Linked DNA regions of Arabidopsis thaliana. The protein of the gene in region 1 purifies or fractionates together with the protein of each later gene. This does not show direct contact. Each region holds a gene or a part of one and is shown in the gene's direction. Other genes may lie near its edges.

Region 1 (9,001 bases):
AGGCGGGTGAAGTCATCGGGCCAATGAGAGGGATGCTCTTTCGGTTCCTTAGCTTCCAATTTATTTTTAAATACATAAATTGATTTGCATATATCTTTCTCAAACCTTGACAACATAACTCGTTTTCAAAATAAATGAATTTTAATCAAATTTCTAAAAGAAATATACTCATTACCAATTTTCCTTTTTATTCTAAGATCCATACTCTTATTGTTATTCTAATGAATCATCATATCGGAAATCAATAATTTATTTTATAGTTATACAAATTTTTTTTTTTTTTTTTGATCATAGTCATAAAATCTCTCTTTCAAAAAATAAGATTAAAACTATAAAATTAATATCACAAATCTTCAAGTTGTTGTAAACCAGTAACACTATAGAAAAAATAGACTGAACTATCGAATTATATACTTTACAAATCATTAACTTATGGTAAAAACGTTTATAATTTTTTTGTTTTATGGTATATGGTAATAGCTTTTGGAACCCGCACAACTAGAAGTAAAAGAAAAAAAACACACTAAAAAAGTTAACTTTTATACATTTTGGTTTTTGGCCGATTACATTTATGATTTATCATTGAATTGCAAAATAATTTATTTCTGTAATAATAAACGCGTAATTAGATCTATATAAACCCTAAACCCCATCACTCACTTACTCTACCCCTGGCTTCTCCTTCAAGCTATACTCTCATTCTCTCTCCTCCGACCAAAGTTTTCTGTTCCTCCGCTTCTCCTTCCCCTACCGGTGCGACTTCTCCTCTCTTTTATCTTCTCTCTTTGTTTATTTTAACGCCGGAAATGTTTCTCACTTGTACGTTTTGGTTTCCGATGTAATCTCTCGTCTTCTCTGTTTCTTGAAAATGGGGTTTTGATTTCTGGGTTTGATCTTAGCTCCATCAACTTTGATGCTTCCCCTTGATCAAAGGATTAAATTCTACAGTGGAGATTATCTATCTGCTTACCAAATTTTGATCAGTTACAACAAAATTACAAAATCAGAATTAGCCCTAGAATTTGTTTTTTGTTGTTACAGTCCCATTCATTGAAAAGTGTCTTCTTCTATGTGTAGGTGCTTCGTTTTGTGTTGTACAGCAGATGTCTGTTGATATCTGCAAGAAGAATCCATCGTTTCTTTGGTGTGACTGTGGATATATGAGCAGAGGAAGGTTGTGGTGCTTTCAGACCATCATGTTTTCTTCTTCTTCTTAGCTTTTTGTCTCTGCTAGATCTTGTTATTGTGAGTTTTTTGCTTTACTGGTGAGGGAAGTTACTTAGTGTAGTGAAAGTTTTCCCCTTGTCTTCCAATGGGGAAAACTAACTTGGCACCTGGTTTTCGGTTTCATCCGACTGATGTTGAACTTGTGAGATACTACTTGAAGAGGAAAGTTATGGGAAAAAAGTTCCAAGTTGATGCCATTGCTGAGGTCGACATTTACAAGTTCGAACCTCCTGATTTACCCGGTAACTAACTCATTCTTTCAGAAATCTTTGTTCTGTTTCATGCTTTCTTATTTATTTCCTGATTACTAACAGAGGTTTCTTTACATTGTACAGACAAATCATGTCTAGGGACTGGAGATCTTAAGTGGTACTTCTTCTGTCCAAGAGAAAAGAAGTATCCCAAAGGCGGTAAGGCAAACCGCTCTACTGAATGTGGTTACTGGAAGACCACAGGGAGAGACAGAGATGTTTCTTATAATGACGAAGTCACTGGGAAGATAAGAACTCTGATTTATCACTACGGGAAAATACCTCGCGGTGATCGGACTGATTGGGTCATACATGAATATAGACTTGAAGACAAAGTACTGGCTCAAAAGAATGTTCCTCAGGTAATGACGATTCGTTCTTGTCTTTTTTTAACGTTTTGATTCCTTGCAAGTTTACTAAACATGCTTGTTGTGCCCTGCAGGATACTTATGTGCTTTGCGTTCTCTTTAAGAAAAATGGACTTGGACCAAGACATGGATCTCAATATGGTGCTCCATTTAAGGAAGAGGATTGGAGTGATAAGGAAGAAGAATATACTCAGAATCATCTTGTAGCTGGTCCTAGTAAAGAAACCAGTCTAGCTGCTAAGGCCTCACACTCGTACGCTCCTAAGGATGGTTTGACAGGAGTGATCTCAGAATCTTGCGTCTCTGATGTGCCGCCACTAACTGCCACAGTGCTTCCACCTCTAACAAGTGATGTTATAGCTTACAATCCCTTTTCTTCTTCACCTCTTCTTGAGGTTCCTCAAGTATCTCTCGATGGTGGCGAGTTAAATTCGATGCTTGATCTCTTTTCTGTTGACAATGACGACTGTTTACTTTTCGACGATTTCGACTACCATAATGAGGTAAGTCTGTCTCTGCATCATCATGCTTTTGATGAATCAGATTTCAGTGTTCCTGAAAAGAAACTTGTTTTGATTGCTTCTGAAACTACAGGTAAGACATCCTGATGGTTTTGTAAACAAGGAAGCTCCGGTGTTCTTAGGAGATGGCAATTTCAGTGGAATGTTTGACCTGAGCAATGACCAAGTCGTAGAGCTACAGGATCTGATACAGTCACCCACTCCTCATCCTCCTTCTCCTCCAGCTCAAGCTAGTATTCCTGATGACTCAAGAAGCAACGGTCAGACTAAGGACGATTAAGTATTTTGTGCTGACTTATGCTCTTTCTTGCTTTGGTCTGATGCTCCATGGAAACAGAGACCAAACATGTGAAGCTTTAGCCAGAACGTTTCTATTGTTGCCATCTCTGTCTGCACGAAAGAAGAGACAAAACCATGAATCAGTAACTTGAAACCGTCCAGTAGTGGAGCCAGCTTTCTATGTTATGTTTCTGCAACTGCGTTGTCTGTAGTCTTAGATTTTCATCATCATTTATGTATGTGGCAAAGACCTTCGCTTTAACTAGTGTAATACCATGGATTCTTAGCTTAGCTTCAATGATAATGCCATTAAAATTCAGTCACAGGCTATAAGGATGAATGTGAACGAACGTCGTCGTTTGGGGAAATACAATGCCACAATTACTTTGACTTTGCTTCGCAAACATAGTACGAGGATGTAAGTAGAAATTAACAAAGGTTATGGGGTCTTTTAGAACAATGTTACTTTCCAGACCAGACGACAAGACGACGTCGTTCCTCAAATAGTCCACGTGTCTTTCCTAATAAGTGAATTTTAGCATTACAATTGTCAATTGGGGAGTAAATAGGTTGAAAATATAATATGGGGATGTAATTTTACAATTAAAACAGTTATGAGGCTTTAATCGAATTTGTTGCTTTGCTTTGCGACTTTCATCTTTCCGATTAATCAAATCCTTTTATCCTCTGAAAAATCTCAACTTTCGAAGAAAACGAAAATGGCGAGCCTTGTCTACGGGACGCCGTGGCTTAGGGTTAGATCTTTACCGGAGCTTGCTCCAGCTTTTCTCAGACGGCGTCAATCTTCTTTATTTTACTGTTCTCGGCGAAGCTTCGCGGTGGTTGCGTGTTCCACTCCAGTCAACAATGGTGGGTCTGTCAGAGTTCGTTTCGCGCCTTCTCCTACTGGTAATCTCCATGTAGGTGGAGCAAGGACTGCTCTTTTCAACTACTTGTTCGCGAGGTTTGTGATCTGATATAGAGCAGAACAATATTGAGAGTTTTTGGGGATTGTAACTGATGGAGTTTTTCTACAGGTCTAAAGGAGGGAAATTTGTGCTGAGAATTGAAGATACAGATTTGGAGAGATCAACACGTGAATCTGAAGCAGCTGTTCTTCAGGATCTCTCATGGCTTGGTCTTGATTGGGATGAAGGTTGCTTTTTCTTCTTCTTCTCTGTGCTAATTTAGGTGTTTTTCCAATGGTGGTGTAATGAAATTGGGATTTGAAATTTCAGGTCCTGGGGTTAGTGGAGACTTTGGTCCTTATCGGCAATCTGAAAGAAATGCTTTGTATAAACAATATGCAGAGAAGCTTTTAGAGTCAGGTCATGTCTATCGATGCTTTTGCTCAAGTGAGGTGATTATCTTCAAATTCGCTGAACAACTTCAGCTTGGTTTTTTTGACTCTGCTGTTGATTTTGATCAATTGTTATGTTATGTAGGAACTTGTAAAGATGAAGGAGAATGCAAAGTTGAAACAGTTGCCTCCAGTATATACCGGGAAATGGGCAACAGCTTCTGATGCTGAAATAGAGCAAGAGTTAGAAAAGGGAACACCTTTTACTTACCGGTTTCGTGTGCCAAAGGAAGGCTCTTTGAAAATTAATGACCTGATTCGTGGCGAGGTTAGTATTATAGGTTTTTTTGTGTGCTTAATCATCAATCTATGTTTAGATACTGTTATTTAAAGCTCGATAGTACCTTCTTGTAATTGACCATGTGTGATAGTGTCTTGAAGGTCTGTTGGAACTTGGATACTCTTGGGGATTTTGTGGTAATGAGAAGTAATGGCCAACCCGTTTACAACTTTTGTGTTACGGTAGATGATGCTACCATGGCTATATCACATGTTATAAGGTAGTGTCTTCTTTTGGAATTTGAGTTTCTTCTCTTAACATGTTTGAATGTTATCTTGATCAAATCTATTAACTTTCATTTCAGGGCTGAAGAACACTTGCCTAATACTTTGAGGCAGGCTCTAATTTACAAGGTAAGCACTAGCTTATGTTTGTTTATTCCAATTGCTTTCGGAAGTTATGTGATCCAGAATATAGGAGGAAGAATTTGATTTATTGCTGTCTGTATCAATCAATGGCAGGCTCTTAAGTTCCCGATGCCTCAATTTGCACATGTTTCTTTAATTTTAGCTCCGGATAGAAGTAAATTATCAAAGCGACATGGGGCAACTTCTGTAGGCCAGGTGATTATAGCTGTTATTTCCTTTACTGCTCGTAGATCATAGATTACTCCATTGCTGATTCTTCATCTAATTTCTGCTTTATGTCCCTTTCGAAAAAACAGTACAGAGAGATGGGATATCTACCTCAGGGAATGGTTAACTATTTGGCACTCTTAGGTTGGGGAGACGGGACTGAAAATGAATTCTTCACACTCGAGGATCTTGGTAGGTCGTTTTTGTTGACTGTAGTTACTTTGTTGCCATCCCTAGCTTTTCTGATTTCTTCATTGAATGTTTGTTCTTGATTTGCAGTTGAAAAATTCTCGATTGAACGTGTCAACAAAAGTGGCGCGATTTTTGATTCAACAAAGTTAAGGTGATTATAGATTTTACTTAGCTGTTTGAATTATCCAATCTTATTCTCTCTTGTTTTTCGTATCTCTGTTTGTTCTCTACCTTTTTCTTATAAGTAGCTTCAATGTGGCATATTTATAAACTCAAAGATGGATGAATGGTCAACATCTGAGGGCACTTCCAAATGAGAAACTAACAAAACTTGTTGGTGAGCGATGGAAGAGCGCTGGTATCTTAACAGAATCCGAGGGGAGTTTTGTAAATGTATGGTTTCTAATCATGACTCCGCACTTTCTTCTGATCCTAACATAAAGCTTTGGAATTAGGAACAACAGATTTTTTCTGTATAGACTTACCCAGTTTGAGCTTGTTGTTGAAGTACAGGAAGCTGTCGAGCTTCTCAAGGATGGGATTGAGTTGGTGACAGATTCAGACAAAGTACTTTTGAACTTGCTTTCATATCCTCTACACGCTACATTGGCTAGGTAACTATCAAACCGTTTGTTCCTCCTGCATCACCTCTTTTCTTTCAATAAATATTTTTTACGGTTTTCTGGAGCTCTGCGCTTGTGTTGATTTGAGTTTGCTGCACCTGATGCAGCCCTGAAGCTAAGCCTGCTGTGGAAGACAAACTTCATGAAGTAGCAGCCAGCCTCATAGCTGCTTATGACAGCGGAGAGATTCCAAGCGCTTTAGAAGAAGGACAAGGTGCTTGGCAGAAATGGGTGAAAGCCTTTGGCAAATCCTTGAAACGCAAAGTTAGTCATCTCTCTAATGCAGTTAATACCGAAACAAAATCTACTTTACTTGAGTGAACAAACCTTACAAGAGATTCTTCTGATGCTGGTTACAGGGTAAATCACTTTTCATGCCACTACGAGTGTTGTTAACGGGAAAACTCCATGGTCCTGAGATGGGCACCAGTATTGTTCTGATTTACAAAGCTGGAAGTCCTGGTATAGTGGTTCCTCAAGCTGGGTTTGTGTCCATGGAGGAACGGTTTAAGATTCTTAGGGAGATAGACTGGGAAGCTTTGAACAAAGATGAGAGTGTGCCTCTTGAATCTACAGCCACAGTATCAACCTGAGAAAACTCCCCTTTTTTTTTTTTTTTTTTTTTCCTTCAATATTTGGTTAGTTGGTGAGAGAAAGACAGCCCAGAGATTTTGATTCCTCGTGCATTTCTTGTTTCCCGAAACAAATGGCACAAAGAAATTTGTAGATTATAATGTATCAGCAAAGCAAACTTAGGAACAAACCAGAGAGCTTGTAACATTATCAGGCCAGTTTTAATTTGCTTTCAATGCTCTGTTTTCTTAACATTTTCTTCTTTGTCTGTTTTTTTTTTGGTCATTTTTTTTCTTATTTGTTTAACTGTACTTTCTCTCTAAGGATAAAATCTTATAATGGTAAAAGCTCTCTTTTGTTCTTTCTATGAAACATAGGCTTTGCCAAATTAGAGTCATAATCCGAAATCTTTACCTGACCGGGATAAAGTTCAGTTAAACCGGATCAGACTAAGAAAACAGAGTACCAAACAGAGATTTTTGTGATTTTTGAGAGAGTTTGTGTGGTGGGGACTGAAGTGAATCTAACCACATAAACACTTGGAAGAGAGAATCTGAAAAACTCAAACTTTAAAAGCTTGAAGCTTTGAGTAATAAGAAAAGGTTTGGACTTTTGCCAATAGGACTGAAGGGAAATCTCACCTTATCCACACTCCAACCACAATCCCTTATTACATCTTAGTCCACGTCATCATCATCATCCTCATTCATCTCTAATACTAAAATCTAATCTCTTCCTTGCTCACTCACCAATCAAACTCAAAAAACTCTTGAATTTTTCAAGAACAAAAGAAAAAGACATCTTTAATGGCGGCCATGAACTCGAGTGTTCTCACTTGCAGCTACGCAATTGCTGGCTCTGGCTCGGTAGAGCTTAACCAGAAAGTTGGTTTGGTGAATTCATCAGTTGGGTTTGGTCAGAAGAAACAGATGATTATGCCTGTGATCAAAGCTCAACGCGTTGTTGGTGATGATGTTGATGGATCTAATGGAAGACGATCAGCCATGGTTTTCTTAGCAGCTACACTCTTCTCCACTGCTGCTGTTTCTGCTTCTGCTAATGCTGGCGTCATTGACGAATACCTCGAGAGGAGCAAAACCAACAAAGTAAGTCTTTGAATGCCTCAATCTTGACATTGCTAAAGATCCTAAAAAGTTTTGGATTTTTTGAAATTTTGATTATAGGAACTTAATGATAAGAAGAGATTGGCAACAAGTGGAGCAAACTTTGCGAGAGCATTCACTGTTCAATTCGGAAGCTGCAAGTTCCCTGAGAATTTCACTGGCTGCCAAGATCTTGCCAAGCAAAAGGTTTGTCTAATATCCACAACGTTTTCTTTTCTTTGGGAATAATATTTAACTTGAAGAGATTGTGATGTTCTTGTTCGTTTTCTGTTTTGCAGAAAGTTCCATTTATCTCAGAAGATATTGCTTTGGAATGCGAAGGCAAGGACAAGTACAAGTGTGGTTCCAATGTTTTCTGGAAATGGTGAAGAACTTTGTTTGTTTTCATCTATTCTTATATAAATCCAACAATGTATCTATCTCTCTCTATTCATGAAAGTTCTCGCATCCATTTGAATCTATCAAGCTAAAACTCTATTGAGAGATTAGGATGCATTATTTTGCATTAAGTTCAGCCTAAGATAAAAAACCTGACTGAATACATACATGTTCATTGAAGAAGTTTCAGTTGGTTTTACGGAGTTAACACCAATGCAAGCAAATAGAAGAAACCATAGAGTAACACATATCACTGTAATCTAACTTTACCAAAGAACCTCAATAGAGTTCTTCACCTTCAAGAACACAAAAATGTGCGAATAGTACAAACAAATGACTCAACAGCTAAAAAAAAAGAACTTCCTAAAAGACGAACCAACAAAAAAAGGGATGATATGGAGTTAATAAGAGTGTTTTTATACGTACAAAAAAGAGTGGGACTTGAAGTAAGTCTTCTCAACCGATAGCGTAAGTGAGTGTTTCCACTTCACTGGGTCGCCAGATTGATTTTTGAACAGAGAGCAAACCTTCTTTTTCCTTAGAATAAGTCATTCGAACTTCCCATTTCATCGCTTTCACCATGCCTTCCACTTGCTGTATTGTTTCCGCATCGTCTCGAACTATCAGTTTCCCTTCCGGTCTCAAAACACGATCCACTTCTGCTATCACCGCAGTTAGATTGCACCTGTAAAGTAAAGAGTTTGTTAAGTATTATGTTTCTGTTGTTTGAAACAGAGACTCTTTGTTACACAAACAAACCTTTGTTTGAGTTTGGAGAAAAGATGGTCGGCGTGAAGGAGATCATATGATCTCGGGTATGTACTGAAAGATTCGCACCAATCGTGGTAGATACCAAAGAGTCCTCGTTCATAGATTATTGCAAGTGTGTCTGGTGAATCTATTGGAACCACATTCATGACCCACACTTTCAGATCTCTTAGAGCTGCCGCAAAACTGCAACAAGAGAATCAACACAAACATTAAAGATGCAGGAAACATCAATACAGTGTTTCTTGATTGACCTTATATTATTTGAATTCAATTGAAAGCGGAGAGGAAAGCATGTTTTACTTACCCTCCATAAACGGCTCTCATGTCCATCACATTTCTAACAGATGCCCAGTTGATTCCTAAACCATTAAGGTATGATTTGGTCACTACGCGTTTCCAGTGCTCATAATCAGCACTGAAATCCTCTGGTGCTGCTTTTCCGTAAACTCCAGTCTGGGAACTTGATAACCAGAACGGTG
Region 2 (6,393 bases), on another chromosome or scaffold:
ATATCCATATTCATTTCTTCTCCATGCTTATACCAAACATAATAATCAGGCATAAATCCATGACTAAACAAATGACTACTAACTCTTCTACCCGAGATGATGTGTTTTTCATTCTTGCATACACTACAAGGACAATGAAATTTACCTCAACTACTCTGTACTATTGGCTGACTATTAGCGAATGTCATGAATTGCTCAACTCCTGCAACGTATTCGGCTGACAAATTCCCCGTCACTTCATCAAATCTCTTGTACATCCAATCTCGATAGAAACCGCCAGTACCGCCATAATTGTAGTTTCCCGCCATTATACAATAAAATAACTAATATTTTTTTTTTTCTCTTTGATGTTGTTGTTGTTTTGATTTGTTGGTGAAAGAAGAGTTGCGTGAACGTTTATTATATAGGCCAATTTTTGTGACTAATTTACGACTACAACTAAATAATTAGGTGTACCTACTTACCAATGCGAAACATGTTTTCCATCTACTTTATACGAGTACGTTGCGACGTTTCTACGACAACAGGACGACTAGAGGACTTAGTCGGCCTGTAGTCGCCATATTAGCGACTAAATAAAATAGACGGTAGAATAGTCGTTAATTAGCGACTAAGCAACGACAACAATATCCCTTCAATAATATAATCGTCAAATAGTCGTCACTTGCCGACACTTTGCCGACTGCAGACGATAGTCGTAAAACAACGACTATGTGACTACAATTTTTCGTGTTGTCGCAGGGGAGTCGTAAATCCGTCGCCAACTAGTCGTATAATGTTACGACTACGTTTGTTGTCGCTGATTGTTCCGCCTATAGAGAAGACTGCTTCTTTAACCTCCTCTTCGGTAATCTTCTTTGTTAGGTCTGCATTCATATCTGCGGTTACTCGTTGTTGGAAGCCATTTAGAACATAGTAGTGATTGTTATTTGTCGTTAAGTCACTCCGAAAGAGCTTGGTGAAGAATTGTTGCGCCACTTCCCCAATATTAGAACTGCCTCTGTGTTCCACATTCGCATCGTCCAAGATAGAGTACATTCTGTTTCGTGCAGATCGTATTTTTGCAGAGGCAAAAAAATACTTTGTGTTACGGTCTCCACCTGACAGCCATGTTTTCCGGCTCTTAAGTCTCCAGAATTCTTCTTCAGCAGCATAAGCCTTCGACAGCTGCAATCTGAGCTCTCGGATGTGTTGAGTTGTTGTGCCATCAGAGTGAGCTCTATCAATTCTGTTTTTGAGAAGGGCTATATCTTCTTGGGCATTTGATCGATATCGCCTCTTCCATTGAGATATTTCTCTTCTGCAGGCAGTGAGTCGTGATCGTAGATTGTCGTCCTGGTGAAAGATTCTCCGGTTCCACCCACGTCTGACAGTATCACTGAACCCATCACGCTCAACCATTCTTCCATCAAAACAGAACTGGTTATGCTTCTGCTCAAAATCGCTCGTGATTGTTGTGATCACTGGTCGATGATCTGATTCTATTAACTCAAGGAATTCCATGTGGGATGCGGGAAATTGAGTTAACCATTCGTTATTCACCAAGGATCGATCCAAGCAGCAGGCAACATCATGAGTGTGTCGTTTTCCGACCCAAGAGAAAGGGTCTCCTGTAAACTTGAGATCATGGAAGTCACAGGTTTGTATCATTTTCCTGAAATCAAAGAAAGAGCTTTCTGGCTTCAAGTTGCCTCCTTTTTTCTCATGGTTGCCTCGTATTTCATTGAAGTCCCCTATAGCCATCCAAGGACCTGTTCTTTGTGTTGCTGTTCGTTCTAATCTTTCCCAAACCAAGTGTCTATGGATAGGATTTGGGTGACCATATACACAAGATAAATAGAACCCAAATCCATTAATATTAACAAAAGTATTTACAAGGTTTGGGGATTGATAAAGAACAGAATACAGAAATACTACTTTTCCACATTAAAGCAATTCCACCACTTAGATCATTTGGAGGAACCATTACAACCCTATCATAACCTACATCGCTGCAAATATCTCTGACGATGTCATTCTTTTACTTCGTTTCCATGAGAACAATGATGTCTGGAGAGAATTTCTTCTTTATCTCCTTTAGACGTCGAACTGCGAGGTCATTGCCCAGTCCTCTACAGTTCCAAGCGGCTGTCCTCATGGAGGAAGAGGGGGTTCTGGGCCCACCGCGCTTCTCCCCACGTCATTCGGCTGAACCGTCTCTCCGGAGCAACCACTGCTTTCCCCAGCCTCATGGATCACCATCTTAGAAGGCTCGTGTTCTTCATCTTCTTCGATGGTGTCCTCTCTCTTGTGTTTGCCCCTATCCGCTGCCACATCCTCACGAACATAGTCTCTGTTCACTCCATTATTTGTTTTCATCTCTCCATGGTACGTGGAGTAACGACATGGCTCCCAATCCTGGAAATCTTCCACGGCTTCATGATGGGCATTCATCACTAATGAGAGTTATTTTATTTATTATTGTCCACGTATTTATTTTGTTTTTAATGTATTTTTTTTTTTTTTGCCTTTTACAGTTCCTAATCCAGATTTAAATCTGGATATAACCCTATAAATTATAAGATATACTCGTCCACATAATATTATCAAGTTTTTTAGTTTTTTAGAAAATAAAAATCTATTCTAAAATTAGAGAGAAAATCAAGTGAGACAATTTTGTGCCTCACAAGTCACGAGATTACTTAGCTCGGAAGGGTTTTGGGCTCTACGTGTGAAAGGCATAAGATATTTTAGTTACTTTTATGCTTTACAATTTACATTACTAGAGTACAAACAAAACAACAGCTATCATGGATTTTTATGACATCATCAATTTACGTGTGTCATTTGAGATTTATAATCTTTACTTTATTATCACTTCTATTTTGTTTTAATGAGTTCAAGATCTTTTCTTGAAAGACATATGAAGACTTTAACCCAAAAAGCTAAGTATTGTCTTTGATGAAACTTTGAAATCGAGAAGTTTTCAAAATTTTAAACGATGTCAACCAGTATTTTTTATTTATAAAACAGTATTTTTCTCTAAATATTTGACAAGATTTTTTTACCCCCGCATTAGCTAAAACCCATTTTCGTACATATGTTTACAAACAATGTCCGCTCAACAATTTCATGGGTGTAGGATAATTTTTTTTTATATTTTGTTATAAAATTTTTTGTATGATAATTTAGTTAACAAAAAAAAAAACAATGCATTAAAAAAATTATAGGTCCATTCTAAATTTTATTTTTGTGTTATATCTAATTTTTAAAAATATTTTTAAAAAAATATATGTCCCTTAATTGTTAAAACATGGGTTTGGATTCTTGGCTGTCGCACCGCTTACCCCTCTATTTAAACCGGCACTGTTTACAAATTAAACATTATAGAAAATAATTCTTAAAAACCGGACTAAGTAATGAAAATTTTAAATTACAAAAATGAAGAATACTAGGAAGCGAGAACTAGGGAAGAAAACTTGAAGCACCACATTAGTCAAAGAGATCGAAGAAAGAAGCCATTCTCTAAGAAAATTTACCATTAAGATTGACTATGCACTTTATTTAAAACACTTGCCAATATATCTTTTTCAAAAGTTTTTTTTTCATAACTCATATTAAGACTTTCATCTTCAAATTAAAGGGGGATGAGCTTTCCGGATGATACTTAGACCTGAGTTGAGTCAAAATCGCATCTCCCTACAAACAAGTTCATCATAAACCAGTCGTAGGGTCCAAAGACTTTCACGATCCATTAAACTGACATCTTAGTGTTTAAAGACATTTTTCTTGGTGTTCTAAAACATATATCTTCTGAACATGGCTCAATTGTGACTCCTCTCAAGAAAATTTAAAGGACTTGGGGAGGACTATATTATTATTTTTAGTTCCCCTTAAATATCCACATAATAATTACTGTTTGTTGTTTTCTTTTTAATTCAAACATACACCATTCCAAAGAGACCTTTGATAGTTTTCTTTACTAAAATATTATTGAAAATTACTTATAAGATTTATTATTAACATGTTTTAGATTGAAAATTGCTCATACAGGCACATAAACAGATTGAGATGTACACACAACAAGGCTTCTCGAATCTTCCCATATGCATGTCGAAAACGCAGTACTCATTCTCACATGATGCATCAAAGAAAGGAGCACCTTCAGGGTTTGTATTGCCAATTCGGGATGTTAGAGGAAGCATTGGAGCTGGTTTCATATATCCACTGGTTGGTACAATGAGTACAATGCCTGGACTTCCTACAAGACCTTGTTTCTATGAGATTGATATCAGTCAAAGCTTCAAGGCTTCCCTTCACCGTCGTTCCTCACTTCCTCAATAAAAATTTGGCGATTGTACTTTGATACTGAGTGTTTTTCCTCTTTGAAATGAATAATAATAAAGTATCTTTTCCTGTTGATTAATTAATCTCTGAAATACTCATTATTTGAAGTTGAACTCAAGGTAACGTTACACATAGAACTTGTGATGTTCAAAAACAAAGCATAAAGCAAATGAGTGACAATGTTTTCTTTTGAAAAATCGTTTTATGTGAAATCATCAGAGGCATTGGAGATTTATGAATCAGAACATCTTGCAGAAATCATGCACTGAGAGGCACAAATTGGATGCCATGCCGAAATGAGGGCATCTCGATTCACGTATTGTGGGCCGAATAGTAAGGCCCATGGAAGATTAAAGTCAATTCAAATTCGAACGTTGAAAGCATTAAATCCAAAGACGGAAACGGAAGAGTTAAAAGAGAATTATGGTGTATAATTAAGAATAATTACTAGGTTTTTGTATAAATAAGAGAGGTCTTGGACCATGTAAGACACCCACAATTTTTCTAGCAATTTTCGATAGTCATTTTGATATCAATTTTTAGCTTTTACATTTTATCTTTGTCCTCAAAAATTAATCCATCTCACAAAACAAATAAATACTTGAGCGTGTGAATCCGACATCCACAACACTTTTGCCTGAAAAAATAATTAACATAAATGTAAAGTATCCTAACTTTCCCATTTTAAATAATATTGTTTATTCAAACTATCTTTAAAAAGTTTTGACAAATATACACCCAAAAGTATATTTTTGAAAAATCTAAAGTTGTAAGGTAATAAGGTAATATATCTAAGGTAGACTAAAGATATATTGAATAACAAATAAAAAATCTAAAGTTTTTAAATGACTCAAAATTGGACGGTATAGATGAATTCTAACGCCTATCATCTATATATATATACGACAAGGGTCTTTCTTATTTATCTCGATAACCAAACTATCCTCAGCTTGTGTAATCCTCATTTTGCCCCTGACTTTTGAACGGTCAAATAATATGAGCCGTTCGATCGAATATGAGATGAGAATTTTAAAATCGTAACCGTCCGTTTTTAACTTTGGCCATTGTCCCTGCTCTTTAATTTTATAATTAATTAATTGAAGCCAAATAATTGTGACCGTCAGATCGATATCAAAAGAAAGGAGTTGATAACATTCGTCCGATTTTATCAAAAACAAGGAACGAATGTCAGCCGTCCATTTTGTACCCTTCAGTAAACCCTAATACTCGTACCTAATTAACCTAATATAAATATAAAAATACGGTGCCGCTTCATATATTGTCTATCCTATTTGCACCTAAGAACTACTCTTTCCATCTCTAGGTTTTGTCTACAAGATTGGGATCTCATGATTGACAAAGAGAAAGGTAATTTAGTCAAGGCCGATAGATTTAAGTATGCGAAGAGAACCAGATTTGGGTACAGATTTGGGTATGTGAAGAGAGCCATGCACGGTACAAAGATAGTTATCAAATAAAGCTGTCAAGTATATTGACTTTTCAACACCATTCGTAATGTGAAGAAAGAAGAGAGTTGCAAAGTCCTCCTTCTTTATTAGAAGGAAATCTCATTCTCTTATTGTCTTTGTATGGGTGAAAGTGAGATCTATGGAAGGGAGTTAGTTGACCTGCGGAACCAGAGTCGATGGGAGACGCTGAAGCGGTTGGAAACGTTTCGAGTTGAGCAAGAACTTGGTCTAGGTTTGTTCGAAGAGTATTAGGGTTTGCTTTGTTAGTTTGATCGATACCACGCCAAATCTGATATTCGACGTAAAGACTTTTCACCTTCTCTTGTAAAACCCAATTTAGGTTTCGAATCCGTACGGTCCATTGTGAAGTTACTAGCGCGGTTTGGTAACACTTAAGTGAATTGTCAAACTCTCGCTGATTGTTACATATCATCAAATTTTTCTTCCTGCTTTATATCATCTAACTAGCTGATTTGAGATTCACAATCTTGATTCTCCAGGTTGCTCTGTATATTGGTGGTCTTTATGTTTGTGGAAAGGTTGGATTTTGAACTCTTATTCTTGCAAACAATGATCTTAGCTTTTGATTTGAAGCCAT
Region 3 (5,895 bases), on another chromosome or scaffold:
ATTGTCGTCCTGGTGAAAGATTCTCCGGTTCCACCCACGTCTGACAGCATCACTGAACCCATCACGCTCAACCATTCTTCCATCAAAACAGAACTGGTTATGCTTCTGCTCAAAATCGCTCGTGATTGTTGTGATCACTGGTCGATGATCTGATTCTATTAACTCAAGGAATTCCATGTGGGATGCGGGAAATTGAGTTAACCATTCGTTATTCACCAAGGATCGATCCAAGCAGCAGGCAACATCATGAGTGTGTCGTTTTCCGACCCAAGAGAAAGGGTCTCCTGTAAACTTGAGATCATGGAAGTCACAGGTTTGTATCATTTTCCTGAAATCAAAGAAAGAGCTTTCTGGCCTCAAGTTGCCTCCTTTTTTCTCATGGTTGCCTCGTATTTCATTGAAGTTCCCTATAGCCATCCAAGGACCTGTTCTTTGTGTTGCTGTTCGTTCTAATCTTTCCCAAACCAAGTGTCTATGGATAGGATTTGGGTGACCATATACACAAGATAAATAGAACCCAAATCCATTAATATTAACAAAAGTATCTACAAGGTTTGGGGATTGATAAAGAACAGAATACAGAAATACTACTTTTCCACATTAAAGCAATTCCACCACTTAGACCATTTGGAGGAACCATTACAACCCTATCATAACCTACATCGCTGCAAATATCTCTGACGATGTCATTCCTTTACTTCGTTTCCATGAGAACAATGATGTCTGGAGAGAATTTCTTCTTTATCTCCTTTAGACGTCGAACTGCGAGGTCATTGCCCAGTCCTCTGCAGTTCCAAGCGGCTGTCCTCATGGAGGAAGAGGGGGTTCTGGGCCCACCGCGCCTCTCCCCACGTCATTCGGCTGAACCGTCTCTCCGGAGCAACCACTGCTTTCCCCAGCCTCACGGATCACCATCTTAGAAGGCTCGTGTTCTTCATCTTCTTCGATGGTGTCCTCTCTCTTGCGTTTGCCCCTATCCGCTGCCACATCCTCACGAACATAGTCTCTGTTCACTCCATTATTTGTTTCCATCTCTCCATGGTACGTGGAGTAACGACATGGCTCCCAATCCTGGAAATCTTCCACGGCTTCATGATGGGCATTCATCACTAATGAGAGTTATTTTATTTATTATTGTCCACGTATTTATTTTGTTTTTAATGTATTTTTTTTTTTTTTTGCCTTTTACAGTTCCTAATCCAGATTTAAATCTGGATATAACCCTATAAATTATAAGATATACTCGTCCACATAATATTATCAAGTTTTTTAGTTTTTTAGAAAATAAAAATCTATTCTAAAATTTGAGAAAATCAAGTGAGATAATTTTGTGCCTCACAAGTCACGAGATTACTTAGCTCGGAAGGGTTTTGGGCTCTACGTGTGAAAGGCATAAGATATTTTAGTTACTTTTATGCTTTACAATTTACATTACTAGAGTACAAACAAAACAACAGCTATCATGGATTTTTATGACATCATCAATTTACGTGTGTCATTTGAGATTTATAATCTTTATTTTATTATCACTTCTATTTTGTTTTAATGAGTTCAAGATCTTTTCTTGAAAGACATATGAAGACTTTAACCCAAAAAGCTAAGTATTGTCTTTGATGAAACTTTGAAATCGAGAAGTTTTCAAAATTTTAAACGATGTCAACCAGTATTTTTTATTTATAAAACAGTATTTTTCTCTAAATATTTGACAAGATTTTTTTACCCCCGCATTAGCTAAAACCCATTTTCGTACATATGTTTACAAACAGTGTCCGCTCAACAATTTCATGGGTGTAGGATAATTTTTTTTTATATTTTGTTATAAAATTTTTTGTATGATAATTTAGTTAACAAAAAAAAAAAAAATGCATTAAAAAAATTATAGGTCCATTCTAAATTTTATTTTTGTGTTATATCTAATTTTTAAAAATATTTTTTAAAAAATATATGTCCCTTAATTGTTAAAACATGGGTTTGGATTCTTGGCTGTCGCACCGCTTGCCCCTCTATTTAAACCGGCACTGTTTACAAATTAAACATTATAGAAAATAATTCTTAAAAACCGGACTAAGTAATGAAAATTTTAAATTACAAAAACGAAGAATACTAGGAAGCTAGAACTAGGGAAGAAAACTTGAAGCACCACATTAGTCAAAGAGATCGAAGAAAGAAGCCATTCTCTAAGAAAATTTACCATTAAGATTGACTATGCACTTTATTTAAAACACTTGCCAATATATCTTTTTCAAAAGTTTTTTTTTCATAACTCATATTAAGACTTTCATCTTCAAATTAAAGGGGGATGAGCTTTCCGGATGATACTTAGACCTGAGTTGAGTCAAAATCGCATCTCCCTACAAACAAGTTCATCATAAACCAGTCGTAGGGTCCAAAGACTTTCACGATCCATTAAACTGACATCTTAGTGTTCAAAGATATTTTTCTTGGTGTTCTAAAACATATATCTTCTGAACATGGCTCAATTGTGACTCCTCTCAAGAAAATTTAAAGGACTTGGGGGAGGACTATATTATTATTTTTAGTTCCCCTTAAATATCCACATAATAATTACTGTTTGTTGTTTTCTTTTTAATTCAAACATACACCATTCCAAAGAGACCTTTGATAGTTTTCTTTACTAAAATATTATTGAAAATTACTTATAAGATTTATTATTAACATGTTTTAGATTGAAAATTGCTCATACAGGCACATAAACAGATTGAGATGTACACACAACAAGGCTTCTCGAATCTTCCCATATGCATGTCGAAAACGCAGTACTCATTCTCACATGATACATCAAAGAAAAGAGCACCTTCAGGGTTTGTATTGCCAATTCGGGATGTTAGAGGAAGCATTGGAGCTGGTTTCATATACACTACAAAAAAAGTCCTCATTGATAGCAGTAGAGGATAGCTCATTTTCCTCAACTGCTATAAAAGATGAATAAAATTTTTGGTTACTTTTTAATAGCACCTTATAAACGCTAAGACCGTAAATCCTCTAGCGGGAATGTAAAATACTTTAGTCCGCCAACACTTAGGTAAAATTATTCACTTCAGCGCCAACACTTAAGCAAAACTATTCACTTCCCTCTACAGCTTCGTGAAAACCTAAGAAAATCGAGAAGACCAAAATTATTCACTTTTGCCTTAGATCTGTCGAATCCACTCCCAAAATCGATTCAACCTAAAAGCTAAGATCTGTCGCTGGCCAGAAATTCGGATTCTCCGCCGCCACATTCTCCAGCTCAGCCACCGTTGAGCTCAAATTCAAGGTTAGTCTTTCTTCCTTATTCCTTATTAATCCATTTCAGCTTCCATCTTTCTCGCATTTTGACCTAATCTCATAGAATCGACTTTCATTTTGCAGCCACCAGTGAGCTCTAACCTTGTCGCAGCCACCAGTGAGCTCTAACCTTGTCGCAGCCACCACTGAGCTCAAAATCAAGGCATGTCTTACTCTCAATTTGACCTAGTTCTTTGTGACGATTTGATTTTGGGGTTTATATGCATCGATTTGTTATATTTAGGGCAATGTGATTTGAATGGAATTAGGAAGTGAAACTTTTCTTTTTTCTTATACTGATTATCGTTTTGGGGTTTATATGCATCGATTTGTGATTTGATTTAGAGTTCTTAAACGTTTTGCTTCAACTTATACTCATAATCGTTTTTTTTTATCAAGTGTTGGTGATTGCAATGTCGAGGAAGTGAAACTTTTCTTCTTCTATTCACACGACTACAGGTTAGTCACACGACAGATTCAATTGTTCTGTTCTTTACTTATGAGTTGTATGAACTTAAGTTGTTGTGATTCTTTTGTTCTGTTCTTTACTGAAGTTGATGTGATTGTTGTCGATTGGTTTTATTGGCTGAGATAGTGTAATTTGTTGGTCCTTAAACATGTGTCTTTGAATTAATCTGAGATAGTATACTGTCGATTGTGTTCTTCACTGAAGTTGCTGTGATTGTTGTCGATTGGTTTTATTTGCTGAGATAGTGTAATTTGTTGGTCCTAAAACATGTGTCTTTGAATTAATCTGAGATAGTATATTGTCGATTGTGTTTGCCATTGTTTATTTCTTAATTTGATGAACTTGATAAGAGATAAGTTTGTATATTGGTCCAAGTGCACTTGTCTGTGATGCGATTTGAGTTACTGTCTTCTATAGTTTAATGTTGCTTATGGTTTGAATTGCTTTTACAAAGGTTTTAATTAAGCTTAGAACATATAATGTTGGACAAGGCATGGGTTCGTCTATGCAGGTAAGCAGATAATTAATATGGGTTAGTTTTCTGATTAGGTTTGGTTGCTTTAAGAGGTTTTTTATTTTTCCTGTTTACTTGAAGAGCTGATCCTGGATATGAGAAAGGTGCTCAGAAATTCGTAACCGATGTGGCTGTTGCATTAGGAGACATTGACATGATAGTATGTCCCTGCAAAGACTGTCGTAATGTGGAACGAAAGTCAGGCAGCGATGTGGTGGATCATCTTGTAAGAAGGGGGATGGATGAGGCTTACAAGTTGAGAGCTGATTGGTATCATCATGGGGACGTGGACTCAGTGGCTGACTGTGAGAGCAACTTCAGTCGTTGGAATGCTGAAATTTTGGAGCTATACCAAGCAGCTCAAGGTTTTGATGCTGACTTAGGTGAGATTGCAGAGGATGAGGACATAAGAGAAGATGAGTTTCTAGCAAAGTTAGCAGATGCTGAAATACCTCTATATCCTAGCTGTTTAAACCACAGCAAGCTGTCTGCTATAGTGACTCTTTTTAGGATCAAGACCAAAAATGGTTGGTCTGATAAGAGTTTCAATGAACTCCTTGGAACATTGCCAGAGATGTTGCCCGCAGACAATGTGCTTCATACATCATTGTATGAAGTCAAGAAATTTCTAAGGAGCTTTGATATGGGATATGAAAAGATTCATGCATGTGTAAACGACTGCTGTCTATTTAGAAAGAGGTACAAGAATCTAGAAAATTGTCCTAAATGCAATGCGTCACGGTGGAAGAGTAACATGCAAACTGGAGAAGCTAAGAAAGGAGTCCCACAGAAGGTATTACGATACTTTCCGATAATTCCACGGTTTAAGAGAATGTTCAGATCAGAGGAAATGGCCAAGGACTTAAGGTGGCATTATAGTAACAAAAGCACTGATGGAAAACTTCGTCACCCTGTAGATTCTGTTACATGGGATAAGATGAATGACAAGTATCCTGAATTTGCTATTGAAGAAAGAAACCTGCGGCTTGGCCTTTCAACAGATGGATTTAATCCATTCAACATGAAGAATACTAGGTATAGTTGCTGGCCTGTTCTGTTAGTAAACTACAATTTGCCGCCTGACCTATGTATGAAGAAGGAGAACATAATGCTAAGCCTGCTTATTCCTGGACCACAACAACCTGGAAATAGTATTGATGTGTACTTAGAACCCCTTATTGAAGATCTTAACCATCTGTGGAAGAAGGGTGAGTTAACATATGATGCCTTCAGTAAGACTACATTCACTCTAAAGGCAATGCTTTTATGGACCATCAGTGACTTTCCCGCCTATGGAAACCTTGCTGGATGTAAAGTTAAAGGTAAAATGGGTTGTCCTCTATGTGGAAAAGGCACAGATAGTATGTGGTTGAAATATAGCAGAAAGCATGTGTTTATGTGTCATAGAAAAGGGTTGGCACCAACACATAGTTATAGAAACAAGAAGGCTTGGTTTGACGGAAAGATAGAACATGGGAGAAAGGCAAGAATTCTAACAGGTCGTGAAGTTTCACAAACCCTGAAAAACTTCAAAAATGATTTCGGGAATGCTAAAGAATCTGGGAGGAAGAGAAAAAGGAATGATTGCATTGAATCAGTCACTGATAGTGACGATGAATCTAGT
Region 4 (8,781 bases), on another chromosome or scaffold:
CTCGTCCTATACTAGCTATTTGGTACGCGTTGTTAACAAGACAAGTAAGAGCATGTCCATTGCAGGGACTTTGCAAGTTTTTAAAGAAAATCCTTATGAATAAAAGCAAAAAATTAAATCAGAATAGTGAAATAAACCAAGGTGCGAACCTTGTTTAAGGTATTTTTGGGTATATTGGATGACAATAAAACAAGTTTTCTTTCTTTTCCCGTATTTTTTTTCTTTGCCCATTCCCAAACTACTTTTTTCTTTCTCTCTCTCGTGTATCTCTAAGTGGTTTTAGCTGAGATAACTTGTATGTCTGTTGTCTTTACTTTAAGTTCAATATGACTTGTATGTCTGTTGTCTTAATCTTTAGTTTAAGTATTCTATGTTTTCTTATTTGTGAATGTTCAGTCTTCAGTGTGAGTGTGTTGTGTTTCAATAGTGTTCGTAAGAAGTTCCACCTTCTCTAAATCACTCCAGTGCTGACATTACTAGTATTAAAAAGAGACCACATGTTTTAAGTCACCATAAGTTTGTACTTTGGTTTGAATGCTTGTACACCACAAATAATATTCCGAACACTAGTTCTTATTGTGTATTCTATGACCTCACTTGTATGCTAAACAATAATTTTGTTTTCATTGTTCTAAATTTTGAAGTCTCTGTGTATGCATACCAAAACACTCTTCTTTTATCCACTCTTATTGTTTTAAGTATCCATTCTTCTTGTTCTCTACAACAAACCCAATAAACATTCTTCTTTCACCAAATAAACACTCTTCTTTAACCTAATACACACTCTTCATTTTACCCAATAAATACTCTTTTTCACAAACTAATAAAAATTTCTCACTTAAGGATTTCACTTAAGAATTCCACTATTGGACAGTAAAAATTATAAAGTTTCAACCAAAAACTCTAAACTCTCATTTACTCAAAATTTACTATTAAAAAATTGTAAGGAGTCCTTAATTAGGACTCCTCAATGGGGATGCTCTAACAAGTAGTATAATTTAGATACTTGCAAGTACAAGTCAAGTAACAAATAATTGAAAAAAAACTAATACTTTATGAAATTTATTTTTATATTACTATATGAAATTTAAATATAGTTTCATATAGTAATATAAATATATAAATTATTCTAAAACGATTTAAATCGTTCAGACTACGACTAAATGTTTTAAACGTTATGGCGAAGGGTCACCGACCGCGCTTATCACTTTCTTAAACACCGAAAAAATCTCATAGATATGCATAATACAATGCAAGGAAGTTCACCTAGTTAATATAATAAATCAACGTTAAAAGAAGGAGCTCGATCGGTATAGTAATATTATGATTGACGGCTTGACGCTGAATCATGCAAATCTCTACCTCTTTACAAGGAATCTATGACTAATTGACTATGAGACTTTCTCATTATTTTTAAAGGTACTTTGCTTGTCTCTCTGGACTAGTCAAATTAAATCTTGTTATGTTTTTTTTTATTAGATCCAGAAGATGTGAATAAAACATTTAAGATGATAATATATACAAAATGATCAATGTCCAACAGGATATTACATATTGTTGGATTTAAATCAATCTTTGAACATACGTAAACACACTTAACCGACCATCAAAGCTACCGAAACCAGAAGATCGATATACCTTGTGTATTTATCTTCTCCAACAATGTATATCTTGTTGTATATGACTTTCTCACCGCAAACAGCAACTTTCTTCTCTTCGTCAATGTGGAAACTTAGGGAACTCGAAAACAAACAACCATGGGGTTTTAAATCCACTGTCTCAATCTCATTGGTCACCCTTATATCCATCTTTAGTTTCTTTGCACTCTGATATAATAAGGAGAGATGTTCTTCTCTAACAACTGAGAGAGCCTTAATATCATTTACTTCTGCAGCTTCTTGATGAAAGGGCACACATAGTAGTTGAAACCTCTCTGTTGAAAAAAACAAAACTGAGCAATGAGTAACCATTTCCCTTCAACGACTTGCCAGTGGATACTAAGTCGTCTTCGGGAGAGACGACATCAAGAAACTCCTCCATAAATTAGAGCTAAAATCATAGACTTCCAAGCATATATCTATAAACCTCAAGATTTTGTAGTTATGGCACAAGTCCTTGTTATTGTAACCGAGAGCATAGACCTCGAATATCTTGTCATGACGATTTATCGGTTGGATCCATATGGTTTTCTTCTAGAATGGGTCCCAAACCACAATGGTAGGTTCAAAGAAACTATCTTAACAAAAATGTCCTCCAATGGTAGGTTCTCAAGAAAAAAAAAATCAAATTTTTGCAAGACAATATCTTTCAATACAAATACAAGTATTCATACAACCAAACTCATACAAGTTTTGGTATCTATCACTTTCATTAAACTTGTCTCTTGCATGCTGCTTCTCTTCTTCTTCTCAATATCACTTTTCACTAAACCTACCACTTTCCCTAAATTTGTGTTTGACACACTTTCCCGGAAAAAGATTTCTGCAAAAAAGGTTTCAGCATCATTGATAGCATCGAGCTCCTCCTTTGGAATAGCCCTTTTCTGTTTATTATTCTCAGCAGCATCATCATATCATTGTTATTTGGGATTTTCTTCTCTTTATGTTCTTCTTTCTTTTCTGTTTCAACTTGATCTACTACATTTGTATTGCTTTTAAACTACGTTATCTATCACACAATAAGAATGTCAAACCCATCCTAAATCAAAATTCTGATTCTCTTTGGTTGCATCCATTTTATCTTCTTTAGGAAATGGATGGATAACTTTATATTAAATGACGTCGTTTCTTTGCCTCATTTTGGGTCAGAAAATGCTAAAGCTGTAAGCCCATTTTATGTTAATGGACTAATATGACATCGATTTCACTATGTAAGATACGCAAAGAAGGCTTAGTCCTAGACATATTCCATAGGGCTTTTATATAGATTGCTTAAAATATATATTGCTTCAAGGTTACTGATTCATCAATAGTTGACCCTCTCGTGCCTCTTCAATTCTAAGTCTAAAACTCTATACACCATATCTGTCGAGAGGAAAAATTGGCACCATTTATCAAGACACCTCGGAATCCGTTCACCCCAATACATTATACATGTTGACAAAAACTATCATCGTTGTATAATAAAATAGTATTGGTGCAATGAAAATGATGGTTTAAATGAAAAGAAATGTGGCTTCCTGTAAATCTATAGAAACTGTATTGGAATAGTTCAAAAACAACAGTATTTTATTAAAAATAACAAATTTAATAGTACAGTCTTAAGAAGTATTATGTAAAGATTAAAGAAAATTGGTAGCCTAACAAATCCGAGTTCCATTCTCTTTTCTAGTATAGTACTAGTTTAAATTGACGACAACAGTGGGCCAAACTAAACTATAGTGGCTGCGCTTATAGATCGAGGGCGAAACCGTCATTTTCTGGCCTTCAATAATTATGTGTGTTGAAAATATATTTATTAAGAGGTGAAAAAGAGGGAAAAAAACAAAAACGTCATCGTTCTCATTGGTTAATATGGATAATGATCTAAACATGTATTTGCTACTTACTGTAATATATTAGGATGTGCTTTAAAGTTTTATAAAACATCATCAATTCATCAGAGTCCCTCATCCATCTTCTCATCCTCCAACGCGAGATCAGACTTCGACAGAGAGTGCGATGAGTTCATCAACAAGAAAGCTTGAGGTTGTTTCACCAGTTCCCGCCGATATCGACATAGCTAATTCCGTCGAGCCTTTACACATCTCTGAGATTGCCAAAGATCTTAATATCAACCCTCTTCACTACGATCTCTATGGCAAGTATAAAGCTAAGGTAATCATCATTTTTCCCTTTTGTTCATTTCCCTTTGAAAATTAAATTATTCATCTGAATCTTCCTCTGTCTCTATGTTGTTGTCGGTACAAGGATCCAAAAGAACTCCGTTTTTGGTTATAAGATACTATTATGTTCGAATTGGTTTCGATCAAACTTAAATAAATTTTCAAGAGATTGTTAATGATTGAGTTTTTGGAGCTTGAGTAGGCAGTTACGTAAGCTCAAAGTTTATAACTTTCGATTGATTTTGGATTCATATTACCATTTTCCTACCAAGTAGCTCTCTTTTCTTGTTAATTTGCTGTTACTTCTTTTTTGTCGGTGGGCAAGATTGATACTTTAGTTTCACCAAAAACATCAGAAGCTGGTTAAACCAATGGTTCAGTGTTCTGAGCTAATCAACTGATGATTTGTTCTTGTAGGTTTTGTTGTCTGCGTTTGATGAGCTTCAAGGACAAGAAGATGGATACTATGTTGTTGTTGGAGGGATTACTCCTACTCCTCTTGGAGAAGGCAAGAGTACTACCACTGTTGGACTTTGCCAAGCCTTAGGCGCTTACCTCGATAAGAAGGTTCTCTCTTGCTTTCATTTATTAGCTTATGCCTTATGCTTGCTTTTGGACAAACTTCTCTCTTTGTATTGATTTGTGAAGTGTTGTTGCTTAGGTTGTTACTTGTCTTCGCCAACCGTCACAAGGACCCACCTTTGGAATCAAAGGAGGTGCAGCTGGTGGTGGGTATAGTCAGGTGATTCCTATGGATGAGTTCAATCTTCATCTCACTGGAGATATTCACGCGATTACCGCTTCCAACAACCTCTTAGCTGCTGCAATCGACACTCGGATTTTCCATGAGACGTCTCAATCCGACAAGGCTCTTTTTAATAGGCTGTGCCCTCCGAATAAAGAAGGGAAGCGTAGTTTCAGTGACATTATGTTCAGGAGATTGACAAAGCTTGGGATATCCAAGACCAGTCCTGAGGAGCTTACTCCCGAGGAGATAAAGAAGTTTGCGAGGCTTGATATTGATCCTGCTTCTATCACTTGGAGAAGAGTGATGGATGTTAATGATCGGTTCTTGAGGAAGATTACTATTGGTCAGGGACCTGAGGAAAAGGGGATGACTAGAGAAACTGGTTTTGACATTTCTGTTGCTAGTGAGATTATGGCTGTTTTGGCTTTGACAACCTCACTAGGTGATATGAGAGAGAGGCTTGGTAAAATGGTGATTGGTAACAGCAAGGCAGGGGATCCGATAACAGCAGATGATCTCGGTGTTGGAGGAGCCTTGACTGTTCTGATGAAAGACGCTATTAACCCGACACTCATGCAGACACTGGAAGGGACCCCTGTTCTAGTGCATGCTGGTCCTTTTGCAAATATAGCTCATGGAAATTCATCGATTGTTGCTGATAAAATCGCTTTGAAGCTGGTGGGACCTGGTGGATTTGTGGTAACTGAAGCGGGTTTTGGTTCTGATATTGGAACAGAGAAGTTCATGAATATTAAGTGCCGTTACAGTGGGCTAACGCCTCAGTGTGCAATTGTTGTGGCGACTGTTAGGGCTTTGAAAATGCATGGAGGTGGGCCTGATGTTGTTGCCGGGAGACCTCTTGATCGTGCTTATGTAAGCGAGAATGTTTCCTTAGTTGAAGCTGGCTGTGTGAATCTGGCAAAGCACATCTCAAACACAAAGGCCTACGGTGTGAATGTAATTGTTGCTGTGAATATGTTCGCAACAGATACCGAAGCAGAACTAAATGCAGTTAGGAAATTTTCAATGGATGCCGGTGCTTTTGATGCTGTGGTCTGCTCCCACCATGCTCATAGTGGTAAAGGAGCGGTAATCTTCTCTATTCGAGACCAACACTATGTGATTATATGCAATTTTGTTTGCAATCTCATCTTATTGATAGATGAATTGTTCTTGTAAATGTTATAGGTGGATCTTGGTATCGCGGTTGAAAAAGCTTGTCAAAACATTACACAGCCCCTCAGGTTTCTCTACCCATTGGACATTGGTATCAAAGACAAAATTGAGGCAATAGCTAAGTCATATGGAGCCAGTGGTGTTGAATATTCAGACCAGGTGATTGATTCCTAGACCGACTTCTTCAATTTCTTTGCATTGTTGTCAAAAGAAACCTGTTTATGTAACTTATCTATTATCCTGTGATATGTAAAATACAGGCAGAGAAACAGATTGAGATGTACACACAACAAGGCTTCTCGAATCTTCCCATATGCATGTCGAAAACACAGTACTCATTCTCACATGATGCATCAAAGAAAGGAGCACCTTCAGGGTTTGTATTGCCAATTAGGGATGTAAGAGGAAGCATTGGAGCTGGTTTCATATATCCACTGGTTGGTACAATGAGTACAATGCCTGGACTTCCTACAAGACCTTGTTTCTACGAGATTGATATTGACACTGAAACTGGAAAAGTTCGTGGCCTTTCTTAAGTTTGGTAGATCTGTCAAAGCTTCAAGGCTTTCCTTCATCGTCGTTTCTCACTTCCACAATAAAAATTTGGCGATTGTACTTTGATACTGAGTGTTTTTCCATTTTAAGATGAATAATAATAAAGTATCTTTTCCTTTTGATTAATCTCTGAAATACTACTCATTATTTGAACTCAAGGTAACGTTACAGATAGAACTTCTGATGTTCAAAAACAAAGAATAAAGCAAATGAATGACAGTGTTTTCTTCTGAAAAATCGTTTTATGTGAAATCATCAGAGGCATTGGAGATTTATGAATCAGAACAGCTTGCAGAAATCATGCACTTGGAGGCTTGTAAAGCTTCTCAACCATCTTCCTGTACTCTGCGTATGGAGAAACAAAAGAGACATAAGAAACTCATAACTGTGGTACTCTAAAGAAGTTTGATTTCATAACGACTGTTAAATCCCCTGTCTGTTTACCTTCTTGGTTACTCCAAAGCTGAGCTGCTTGAGTGTTCAATGGTGAACTGATGTTCGGTTCTGATCAACGAAAACATGTATCAGATATTGGATTAACCAACAAAAAGGGCTAACAAGAAATCAAAAGTTATGCACCATAGAATACCTCCCAGGAGGCTCTGAATCGATAGTAGTATCGTCCTCACATCGTAAGCAGATGACCACTTATCCTGCAAATATGAAAATGTTGTAAACGGATTAACTTTGGCACGTCTTCTCTGATTCAGTGTAGAACAAAGACACAAGAGGAAGGTATATTTTTACCTGAAGAATGTCTAAGCAGATATTGCCATAGACATCAACATTGGGGTGGAAGCAACATGTCTCAAACTTAACCTTTGGAGGCTTGAAAGGATAGTCATTGGAGAAAGAGAGTGAGAGTCTGTACTCAGTTCCTTCAAACACAGTATCTTTGCTTCCTGTTATTGTCCCTTTCCAGCAGAATATGTTGTCTTCCTCAGGGAAAGCCGATATTCCTGGACCACCGCCCATCTGAAAACAACCAAGTCAAGAACCCTATGAGCAAATCTTTACTATAGAAACTTGTTCACTAAAAAGGAAGAAAGATGATAACTTACCATCAAGCCCATCAATTCAGATTGCAGTCTGCGTTTAATCAAAGAAAAGCCTAGATTAGGAATCTGGGATTTACTGAACTCATGATTAAAAAACCGAAACTTTGAGCAATAAAATGTAGATCTGATTCAAGATGAATACAAAGAACATCTTAAAGATTTAATTCTCTCAGAGACATTCTAACAAACAGTTTATATGCAAACATATATGAGAAGTCTCCCACTTCATTTAACGGATCCATAACAGTACATTAACCACGAGAACTGGATATGCGTAATAGCCAAATAATAACAAACCATGAAATGGATTTAAAGAAGATACATTGGAGCGACGATATATCCAAAAACGAGGCAAAAGACTAAGGCGATTACATTTGAATTGGTATCGAAATGTTGGGACAAGATCGAGGAAAAGAAAAGTACCTTTTGAGAACAGATTGGCTGTCAACAGTCTTGGTCGGAGCCGCAGGTTGTTTTGATCCATTAGACGCCGGAGGATCTGCCGGAGTATTTCCCTGATATCCATTTACGGCGGCCATCACTTTCGCTTTCTTAATCGTCAGACCAAAATCGAATTTTTATTCAGAAATCGAAAGCACCCAATTAGACTAGAGTAGAATCAGATTCACGAGTGTTCGAAAGTAGAAGAAGGAGAAGAGGAAGAAAACAAAGATCCTTCTTCGTACTTCCGATGCGAGAGACAGAGAGATCGATCGATGAGAGTCTCTGAGGTTGGTTATAAAACGGCGTATGAGTGAGAGAAAACGACGTCGCTTTGACTTTAAATGGAATAAAAAAGAAAAGGGAAAATTTAAAGCGGATTTGTTAGTGAACGTTGGAGAGCAAACAAGCGCCGCTTGGAAGCTTTTGAATTTCGTTTAACTAACGGCTAGTTTGCTTCTTTCTTTAATTCTAAATCTGAAAGAAGAAACAATTAATTTTTGTTGACAAATGTAATGCATATAGACATAAAGAGGAAAAAAACATAATCATTTTGATACATTGTATTTTAATATATTATTAACAAAAGAACATTGTATTCTAATATAGTTTTTGGAAACAATTCAAAATTGTTATCATACTAGTAATAAGAAAGATATTCGGTGACAAAAAAGGATATTGAATATTGTTTTTTATACAGTAAATATTATTATTGTAAAACCAACATTCCATCTTCCTATTTATCTATCTAGTATAATTAATTCCGTTGGTGGTGATTTGTACAAATAGCGTGAGAATATCTTAAAATAGTTCGATAAAAATATTATATTATTTAATAAAAATGAATAAAAGCACACCTAATAAATTATCCAACTTATTTACAATTTTTTTTATCTCTATGGTTTTTGGACTTTTAAGTATTTGTTATGTTGAAAACTAATCTTGTGATACATTGCAATATTGCATTTGATCAAGAAATA

The links.
Region 2: the proteins of ERS (region 1) and AT2G12280 fractionate together in Arabidopsis thaliana (co-fractionation; one large-scale study listed by BioGRID). This does not show direct contact.
Region 3: the proteins of ERS (region 1) and AT2G12200 fractionate together in Arabidopsis thaliana (co-fractionation; one large-scale study listed by BioGRID). This does not show direct contact.
Region 4: the proteins of ERS (region 1) and THFS fractionate together in Arabidopsis thaliana (co-fractionation; one large-scale study listed by BioGRID). This does not show direct contact.

Annotation. Positions count from the first base shown.
Region 1 is NC_003076.8:25,627,464-25,636,464, reverse strand, and holds ERS (glutamate tRNA synthetase), read left to right. Parts: upstream 1-3,255; 5' UTR 3,256-3,365; coding exon 3,366-3,610; intron 3,611-3,683; coding exon 3,684-3,802; intron 3,803-3,884; coding exon 3,885-4,006; intron 4,007-4,091; coding exon 4,092-4,274; intron 4,275-4,387; coding exon 4,388-4,506; intron 4,507-4,590; coding exon 4,591-4,639; intron 4,640-4,747; coding exon 4,748-4,849; intron 4,850-4,950; coding exon 4,951-5,053; intron 5,054-5,140; coding exon 5,141-5,204; intron 5,205-5,331; coding exon 5,332-5,446; intron 5,447-5,566; coding exon 5,567-5,667; intron 5,668-5,783; coding exon 5,784-5,940; intron 5,941-6,035; coding exon 6,036-6,269; 3' UTR 6,270-6,633; downstream 6,634-9,001. Other genes in the region: NAC103 (NAC domain containing protein 103), read left to right, coding at 1,313-1,469, 1,563-1,840, 1,921-2,349, 2,441-2,647; PSAN (photosystem I reaction center subunit PSI-N, chloroplast, putative / PSI-N, putative (PSAN)), read left to right, coding at 7,056-7,355, 7,434-7,559, 7,656-7,775; AT5G64030 (S-adenosyl-L-methionine-dependent methyltransferases superfamily protein), read right to left, coding at 8,208-8,436, 8,511-8,705, 8,827-9,001. UniProt on the Arabidopsis thaliana protein: Catalyzes the attachment of glutamate to tRNA(Glu) in a two-step reaction: glutamate is first activated by ATP to form Glu-AMP and then transferred to the acceptor end of tRNA(Glu).
Region 2 is NC_003071.7:4,918,274-4,924,666, forward strand, and holds AT2G12280 (P-loop containing nucleoside triphosphate hydrolases superfamily protein), read left to right. Parts: upstream 1-4,008; 5' UTR 4,009-4,050; coding exon 4,051-4,323; 3' UTR 4,324-4,406; downstream 4,407-6,393. Other genes in the region: AT2G12290 (uncharacterized protein), read right to left, coding at 5,827-6,228.
Region 3 is NC_003071.7:4,897,927-4,903,821, forward strand, and holds AT2G12200 (P-loop containing nucleoside triphosphate hydrolases superfamily protein), read left to right. Parts: upstream 1-2,686; 5' UTR 2,687-2,724; coding exon 2,725-2,889; intron 2,890-2,991; coding exon 2,992-3,018; downstream 3,019-5,895.
Region 4 is NC_003070.9:18,698,405-18,707,185, forward strand, and holds THFS (10-formyltetrahydrofolate synthetase), read left to right. Parts: upstream 1-3,477; 5' UTR 3,478-3,659; coding exon 3,660-3,815; intron 3,816-4,240; coding exon 4,241-4,390; intron 4,391-4,484; coding exon 4,485-5,660; intron 5,661-5,759; coding exon 5,760-5,906; intron 5,907-6,007; coding exon 6,008-6,283; 3' UTR 6,284-6,534; downstream 6,535-8,781. Other genes in the region: AT1G50470 (F-box associated ubiquitination effector family protein), read right to left, coding at 1,596-1,888, 1,968-2,040; UBC20 (ubiquitin-conjugating enzyme 20), read right to left, coding at 6,601-6,647, 6,747-6,806, 6,892-6,955, 7,050-7,277, 7,364-7,391, 7,784-7,899.